Ovis aries: one gene and its partner. The protein of the gene in region 1 interacts with the protein of each later gene in a biochemical or structural test. Links are inferred from orthologs where the notes say so. Each region holds a gene or a part of one and is shown in the gene's direction. Other genes may lie near its edges.

Region 1 (4,458 bases):
TGGACTCAGCTCTATTTGATTACTGACTATCATGAAAACGGATCCCTCTATGACTTCCTGAAGTGTGCGACGCTGGACACCAGAGCCCTGCTCAAGCTGGCCTATTCGGCTGCCTGCGGTCTGTGCCATCTCCACACAGAAATCTACGGCACTCAAGGGAAGCCTGCAATCGCTCATCGAGACCTAAAGAGCAAAAACATCCTCATCAAGAAAAATGGGAGTTGCTGTATTGCTGACCTGGGCCTTGCTGTTAAGTTCAACAGGTGAGTGGTTCTTTGCCTGGTGTTTGGAATTATTTTAATTTCCTAAAGATATTTACCTGTTTGTATTTGTATTCAGGACAGTGGGACTCCAAACATGTGAAGAAAAGTAAAGTGAAAGTGCTAGTCACTCAGTCGTATCCAGCTATTTGCGAGTCCGTGGGCTATAGCCCGCCAGGCTCCTCTGTCCATGAAGTTTTCCAGATAAGAATACAGGAGTGGCTCCAGGGGATCTTCCCAACCCAGGGATTGAACCTGGGTCTCCCGCATTGCAGGCAAATTCTTCACCGTCTGAGCCACCGGGAGGCCCTCCGAACATGTATTTGTGCTGATGTAAATTATAAGTTAGGATTTGGGAGGAGGTTTGTCTTAGTGTTTTGTTCTCATTGTGGTTTTTGTTTTTTACAAAAATTACATCTTACTCTACATAATTCTTGATTTCCTACTTCCCATTGTCTTCGACGTCTACTTCAGTTTATATAGATCTTTACTCTTTTTAGCAGCAGTATGCAAAGTTTTCCATTTTATAGATTTCTATAATTTATCCCATCTATGACCCAACTGATGACATTAAAGTTGCCTCCAGGGTCTATTATTTAAAAAGTGCTTCAATGAATACTGTATTTTATCCATATATAATATTCCAGAGTACTTGTACAAGTATTTCCTCATAGTGGATTTCTGGAGAAGGGGCTAGGCAGAGAGTATGTATGTGTTAAGCTGCATTAACAGGCTGTCCCCTAGAAAGTGTGCGTCAGTGTGCACGCCCGTGAACAAGAGTTGTATGCCATGGCTTCATCACCACTTGATATTGTCAGTATTTTTAAACGATGAGAATATCACATTTTTAGGAAACCATTGAAATTGTTTTAATGGTATAACTCTAGAGTACAGCAGCCATTTTACATTTCAAAATTCATTTCAGGCCATAAAATTAAAGTACATAATAAAACAAACATCAAAAAATTTAATCTTCTTCTGTCATTATCACAGTTTTCTATCCTGTTGTTTTTTTCTATCAGGGGAATTTTTATTGGCTCAAGTATTCATCAGATGCCATTTAAGAAAATATAAAGTACATTATATTGATCTCCATTTCAAAATAGTTTCCAGAATCTTAACAGATCTGGGAACCTAAAAAAAAAGGTCATTCATGTCTTCAAACTCTAAAATATACTCCCAAAATTAATTTTAAAAAAAGATTAATATTGCAGTATGATTATGTAAACATGACTCACAATAGAACTGAGTTGGTTGGACCCATAAAGAAAAAAATGTAATCCCAAATCACAAAGGATCACGTGAGAATGAAGAAAACAAATGATGCCTCTCACTTTTCACATTTACTCACCCTAGGACATAATCATCTACCACATTTTATGTTCAGCACTGTTCTCTTTCTTAGAGAGACACAGAACTTACTTGCTGACAAAACTTGACCTGAACTGGTTTGAGGTATTTACTGTCTTTATTTATTCAGTTAACTGTGAATAGTCATACTTAGTTTTTTGCTGTGGACTTAGTAATGATTTTGATTCAGGACTGCTCCAGACCCTGCTGGAGGTGTTATACAATACACAGCATATATTTAAAGGATATAATATGTAATACTTTTTTAAAATCTGAAAGATGTCAAATTTCAAAATACACCTAGCCCCAAGGATTACTGATCAGGAAATGTAGACTTATTAGATAGATTTTCATTTTATTTAGTTGTGTATACAAACACACACACACATACACATAGAGAGAGAGAGAGAGAGAGAGAGAGAGAGAGAGAAATTCTGCCTGTTACACAATGCAGTGAAAATAGAGGAGAAACGGTTTTCTTCTTTCCCCTCAACCTGGACGTTTTCTGTCTTCTGTTTCAGCGACACAAATGAAGTTGATGTGCCCCTGAATACTAGGGTGGGCACCAAGCGCTACATGGCTCCAGAAGTGCTGGACGAAAGCCTGAATAAAAGCCATTTCCAGCCCTACATAATGGCTGACATCTACAGCTTTGGCTTGATCGTTTGGGAAATGGCTCGCCGTTGTGTCACAGGAGGTAGGAGTGTGGGCAGCGTGTTTCTGGTTGTGTCTGTGTACTCGTCATTCAAAACATAACAGCTCCAGTGGCATGATTTAGGTGTCATCTGGGTCAGGGAGCTCCAAGATCACTCACTGGCTCTGTCACTGCATTGGGACTCCCAGGACTCAGTGTATAGTTGTCTTCATAGCAAAGATTTGTTACACTGAAAGGACACACATCAAAATCAGCAAAGGGACAAGAAAAGGCCCATGGGGCGAAAGTTCAGAGGAAGTCAGACACAAGATTCCGGAAGTCCTGTCCCAGTGGAGTCACTCAGGATGTGCTTAATTCCCCTAGCAGTGAATTGTAAAAATGTGAAATATTGTCATCTAGGGAAGTTCATTAGAGGTTTAGTACCCAGAGATTTTTTTGGAGGCTGGTCACATGGGCATCCTCTGCCTGGCATGTATCAAAATTCCAAACTTCTAGAAAGAAAGCAGGTGGTCAGCATAAATTATATTGTTTGCACAAATAGTCTAGTTACAAAGGCCACCCTTTTCATTTCTGTGAATAGAGAGAGCTGTTTAGCAGGCAAGTCCCCAGATACCAGCTCAGTGCCAGGCTTTCAGGCAGGCCTCTCATACAGACAGCAATTTCCAGTCTGCCTTGCCAACTCATTCCTACAGATGCGTTGTCTTTCTACTGCAGAAAAAAGGCTCTACTCTTTTATTAGTAGAAGCAACTGTATACATAAAAAGACTAAAAATTTAGGTTGAATGGTTCACTTTGCTTGTTTTAAGGGATATTGGCATGTTCAATATGGACAACTATGGTAGGGATATAGAAAATAATCATATTTAAAAAGAAGAGTAGAACACACATTTACTATTAGACATGAATCATCTGCTCAGTAATCTCTTCTTCTTTATGGGGGAATCAATTTTAGTTCCTTAGTTCAGTAAGAAGTGCTGAACAGACTGATGTATTTTTTCCAGCCACTGTTTTTGTGCCCACTGTTTTCTCGCTCACTACAGGAATAGTCGAAGAGTACCAGTTGCCGTATTACAACATGGTACCCAATGACCCATCATACGAGGATATGCGTGAGGTGGTGTGCGTTAAACGTTTGCGGCCAATTGTGTCTAATCGATGGAACAGTGATGAAGTAAGTGGGAGTCAGTCCTCTCAGGAAGTGATTGCTGAGTGTTGCCAAAGACCCTTACCCGCTCATGACATTCTCTTTACTTTTCAGTGTCTACGAGCAGTTTTGAAGCTAATGTCAGAATGCTGGGCTCACAATCCAGCCTCCAGACTTACAGCTCTGAGAATCAAGAAGACACTTGCCAAGATGGTTGAATCCCAAGATGTAAAGATTTGACAGATAAAAGGTCATGAGGAGAAATTCTAGACTGCAAGAACTGTTTTCACCCAAGGAATGGGTGGAATTAGAATAGAATGAGGATAGTAACTTGGTTCTCAGACTCTTTCCTCACTACACCTTCACAGGCTGCTAATCTTTCAGTACTCTGTAGAATACAAGCTGGGAACTTCTAAACACTTCATTCTTTATATATGGACAACTTTATTTTAAATGTGGTTTTTGATGCCTTTTTTTTTTATTGGATTTTTATGAACTGCATCAAGACTTCAATCCCAATTAATAAGTCTCCAGTCAAACTCTGGGTACTGAATTACCTGTTCATAAAATGGTGCTTTCTGTGAAAGCCTTGAGAAGATAAATGAATTCAGCAGAGATGGAGAAATATACACGTTTGCCTTCTACCTGAAAAAAATTTAATCTATTTGTATTCTACCTTTGTAAACAGCCTATGGATTATGCTCTGTTTGGGATACAGTACTGCTTAGCTGATGACAGTTTGCCATGCCTTGGTGGTGTGTGTGTGTGTCTGTGTACATACGTGCATACCAGAGTTCCTCTGCTGCCATTTGAATTAGAAGATAATTTGTGAATGCACAGGAAGATATTGGTGGCTGTTGGTTTTGTGCTTTAAAAATGCGTTATCTGACCGAGATTTGCCAATCACATAAAAGCCATTTACCTTGCAAGTGAGCTAGCTTCTCCACCAACTTTATTTTTTAACATTAAAGTTAATATAAAGGCCAAAAGGAATTAAAAGTGTATGTAAATTTGGACTGTTTTCCTCCCACCACAAAATTGTTTTTTGT
Region 2 (4,281 bases), on another chromosome or scaffold:
ACCAATTGGTGGATGGTTAGCATTGCGTTTTATGAGCTGAAGTCTTTGTGAGACATTAAAACCCCGAAAGACATTGAGTTGGTAAACTGAGGCCAGCTCTGAACAAACTTTGGAGTTAGCAGAAAACTCGAGCAAGAAAGCAAAAGACAATTGCCACAAGATCCATCCCTGACCCCCAAGAAAAAGTTCTGGAGACGAAAGTGCTTTTCGGCTTTTATCTCTTAATTAAGAAAATTGGGGGAGAAAAATGTGATTAGAGAAGAATCCTTCTGAATCTGAAATTGAAACACAACTCCCTCTTCCCCAGGTTTCTGGGTTTTAGCACCGCGCGCTCTCGCGCGGCGCCCTGGAAGATTCTTAGGGTCGGAGGATGGTCTGGGGACTGCGGGGCTTCCGCCCTTTCCACTGTCCTTTCGCCCGCGGGGACCGGCCCTTCTTCGTCTGCTTTTCCCACTTCTGGAGCTCCTCCCACGGCATTTTGAGGGGTCTAGGCGTCTCAAAACTCTTTGCTCTTCCAAACCCTTTCGCAGTCAGCCCCAGCCGTGTCTCGGGAGCGGGAAAAACTAAAGCCGGTCAAAAAGCAGCGCGACTCTCGCCGGGTGTGGACCGTCGCGCAGGGGCGCCCGCGGCCTCCGCAACTCGGCCAGTGCGGTGTCTGGCGGCGCTGGGCAGCCGCGGCCGGAGAGAGGGCTAAGCGCTTGATCCTTTCCTCCTCTTCCTCCAACTGCCCCCAAGTTTGCGAGGGAGAGTGAGGTGGGCAACTTGAGTCCTTGAGCTCTGAAGCGACCCGAAGCAGCTTCTGGGAACAGCCCCAGGAAAGGGCAGCCGGTGCCCTCCGCTTTGCAGCGGGAATCGTGGGACTTGGGATCCCGGGGCGGGCAGGGCTGCCACAGAATTGCGTGGGTCAGGATTTTGAAAAGGCCCCGGCTGCCGCAGTTGGTAGGTCAGTTTTTTTTTTTTTTTTCCTTCTTCTTCTTCTTTTAAGGCCCCTGTGCTGAGCGACCCACGCATGCAGCATCTTTGGTTAGAATCAGAGCCCTAGTAATTCCTTGAGCTGTGGGTTGGTAAAATTCTTGAAGAAATATTTGCTGCGACTCTGCAGCTGGTGCAAAGGAGGAAGGGGGTGGGGGAGGAAGTGGCGGGGGAGGAGTAGTGGTTTAAAAAAGACGAGCTGGGGAGAGAGTGAGAAAGAGAGACGCAGACGCAGAGGTCGAGCGCAGGCCGAAAGCTGTTCACGGTTTTCACGACTCCTGGGAATGCGGTGGGATTTCCTTTCTGCGGCGGGTCGGGAGTTGTAAAACCTCTGCGACCTTGAGACCTGAAACATGTGATGAGCCTTTTCTCAGGAGACGCCTCTTTTCGAGTCTGTCGCGAGCCTTGCGTCCCTGCGACCGCCGCCGTGCCTTGAATGGCCCGCCGACCACTTTCTTTGGGGATTTGCTTTGCTTGGCGGGGGATCGCCGTAGTGCGGAGTTTTTCTCCGTAAAGGAACCGGAGAAGGAGCCTAGCGGCGGCTTTCTCACCATCTTCCCACACCGATAACCGCCTAAATATCTCCCCCTCCCGTCCCGCGCGACAGGGTCCGCAGCTTTGGGCTGGAAGCTAAAGCGGCTGTCCAGTTTTTCTCGACATTCTCAGGAGTTCGCCAGGGGGTAACTAGCTGTCACTGGGAGCAGCATTTGGCCTCTCCGAGACCCTGGGGAGGAAGTAGGGTGCGCGCGGCGTGTGTGTTTGTGTGTCCCTCAGCGCTTTCCTTTTTAAATGACCCTCGGTGGTGAGGCTTTCGGCGGCTGAAACTCCGCGGCCCCCTATCTCGGCCCCACCGGAGGCGGGCTCGCGCTGAAAGGCGCAGCCCCTACCGTGCTCCCCAGACCCTTGGCTTCAGGCCGCTGGCACGAGGGCCCAGCCCGACGCCCCGAAGGCTACAGGTAGGGGCGAGGACCACGTCCTCCACGCGCCGCACCCGGACACCCGCCGAGGGCTCAGCAGATTGCCACGGCGAGCTCCTCCCGGTCCGCTGGAGGTTTGGGGCTGCGGGCGGGGAGGCCGGCCTCTCCGGGAGGGGGTGGGGCCGCGGGCGGGAGGGGTGGGGGCGGGGGCGGGCGCGCGGGCCCTTTCACCGCCCGCCTCGGGGAGGGCGGGCTCCTCCGTGCGTGGGGCGGGGCCTCTGCGCTCACGTGACTCATAGGGGCTGGAAGAAAAACAGAGTCTGTCTGCGCCAGTCTCATTATATTCAAATATTCATTTTAGGAGCCATTCCGTAGTGCCATCCAGAGCAACGCACTGCAGCAGCTCCTCTGAGCCTTTCCAGCAAGTTTGTCAAGATTGGCTGTCAAGAATCATGGACTGTTATTATATGCCTTGTTTTCTGTCAGTGAGTAGACACCTCTTCCTTCCCTCCTCCCGGGAATTCACTCTGCCCTCCCCGCCCGCGCTCGCCTTGTGTCCCTTCCGTCGGACCTTCCTTCCAGAGTCCACACTCTTCTTTCTGGCAGCGCTGTCGCTTTCTTCTAGGCCGGGCAACCACTGCGCTCGGAGCCTACCGGTTCTGGTTAAAGTGCCGCTTGCTCCCGCTGGCTCTCTCTGATCACTGCGTTGCAAGAAAGGGGAGCGAGAAGGGGCTGAACAAATGAAAAGTCCTCAGTCAGGGGAGCTGACCGCTCCCCTCCCCACATGACTGGGAGCACCCAGTGCCCCTGTGGCTCGCTCCTAGCTGCTTGTCAAAACTCACAGAGGTCGCCCTTGGAATCATCCCCTCCCACACCCCCTTCCCTGGGAGTGAGCGAGAGGACGCGATCAGATGCTTTTGCTGGGCATTTCAAACTCCTCAGCCACAGTAAAATAAACCTTGTGGCCACTCGGTACGCTCCTAGATCCTGCCGCCCCGTGTCTTCACCCTGCTCCTGCTTCTCTGCTTTCCCTCCTCCGAACCAGCTGGAAGTTGTGGAAGTCGGGCTAGGAAGGGCGGAGGAAGAAGGGGGGTGGAGGAGAAGGGAGAGAGAGCCTGAAGGTCTGAAGTGGAGAGGAGAGCGCTGGCATTTGAACTCTCCCTCCCCCACCCTTCTTTACCTTCTCACTGTTAACTGTTTATCCCTAAAGAAGCCAGGCTGAGATCATGGCTCAGATAGCAGTTGGGACAAAAAAAGATTAACAGGATGGAGGCTATCTGATTTGGGGTTATTTGACTGTAAACAAGTTAGACCAAGTAATTACAGGGCAATTCCTACTTTCAGGCCGTGCATGGCTGCAGCTGGTGGTGGTGGGGGGGTGTGTGTGTCGGGGGAAGACACAAACTTGATCTTTCTGACCTGTGTTACTTCTAGACCCTCTAGCTGTAGCTCTCCACGCCTATGCAGAGACATCTCCATTTCTCTCTAGTTATTGGTGTTTATTTATTCTTTACCCTTCCACCTCCTCCCCTCCCCAGAGACACCATGATTCCTGGTAACCGAATGCTGATGGTCGTTTTATTATGCCAAGTCCTGCTAGGAGGCGCGAGCCATGCTAGTTTGATACCTGAGACGGGGAAGAAAAAAGTCGCCGAGATTCAGGGCCACGCGGGAGGACGCCGCTCAGGGCAGAGCCATGAGCTCCTTCGGGACTTCGAGGCCACACTTCTGCAGATGTTCGGGCTGCGCCGCCGCCCGCAGCCTAGCAAGAGCGCAGTCATCCCGGATTACATGCGGGATCTTTACAGACTTCAGTCTGGGGAGGAGGAAGAGGAAGAGCAGATCCAGGGCATCGGTCTGGAGTATCCTGAGCGCCCCGCCAGTCGGGCCAACACCGTGAGGAGCTTCCACCACGAAGGTCAGTCCCTACCTGGAATCTGGACTGGGGTGGGGCAGTGGAAGCTGTGGGAAGACGACGAGGAGTTCAGGTTACATCAGAACCCCAAATCCAGGAGACTGGGAAAAGAGAGCTGCTTACCTTCAAGAGTCTCCAGAGCTGTGGCTGAATTTATTTTTTGGAGACAGAAGGGAAGGGAGGGGTCGGCGAGAAGGGAATGACACCACTCAGACGTGGGTTAGCCCCTGCGGTGTGCTTTTGCTATATCAAAGCCTTTTATGCCAGGTTTTCTGCCTATTTTTTTTTTCCAAAGCACCTACTGAATTTAATATTACAGCTGTGTGTTTGTCAGGTTTATTCAATAGGGGCCTTGTAATCCGATCTGAATGTTTCCTAGCGGATGTTTCTTTTCCAAAGTAAATCTGAGTTATTAATCCACCAGCATCATTACTGTGTTGGAATTTATTTTCCTCTCTGTAACATGATCAACAAGGC

The links.
Region 2: the proteins of BMPR1A (region 1) and BMP4 form a complex in vitro, tested with the Homo sapiens proteins (3 studies listed by BioGRID and IntAct, with this or other methods). The link is inferred for Ovis aries from reciprocal best matches to the Homo sapiens genes BMPR1A and BMP4.

Annotation. Positions count from the first base shown.
Region 1 is NC_056078.1:40,570,796-40,575,253, forward strand, and holds the end of BMPR1A (bone morphogenetic protein receptor type-1A precursor), read left to right. Parts: coding exon 1-263; intron 264-2,131; coding exon 2,132-2,307; intron 2,308-3,305; coding exon 3,306-3,436; intron 3,437-3,523; coding exon 3,524-3,649; 3' UTR 3,650-3,769; downstream 3,770-4,458. UniProt on the Homo sapiens protein: On ligand binding, forms a receptor complex consisting of two type II and two type I transmembrane serine/threonine kinases.
Region 2 is NC_056060.1:64,607,846-64,612,126, reverse strand, and holds the start of BMP4 (bone morphogenetic protein 4), read left to right. Parts: upstream 1-1,186; 5' UTR 1,187-1,712; exon of another isoform or gene 1,713-2,012; intron 2,013-2,250; 5' UTR 2,251-2,374; intron 2,375-3,427; 5' UTR 3,428-3,434; coding exon 3,435-3,807; intron 3,808-4,281.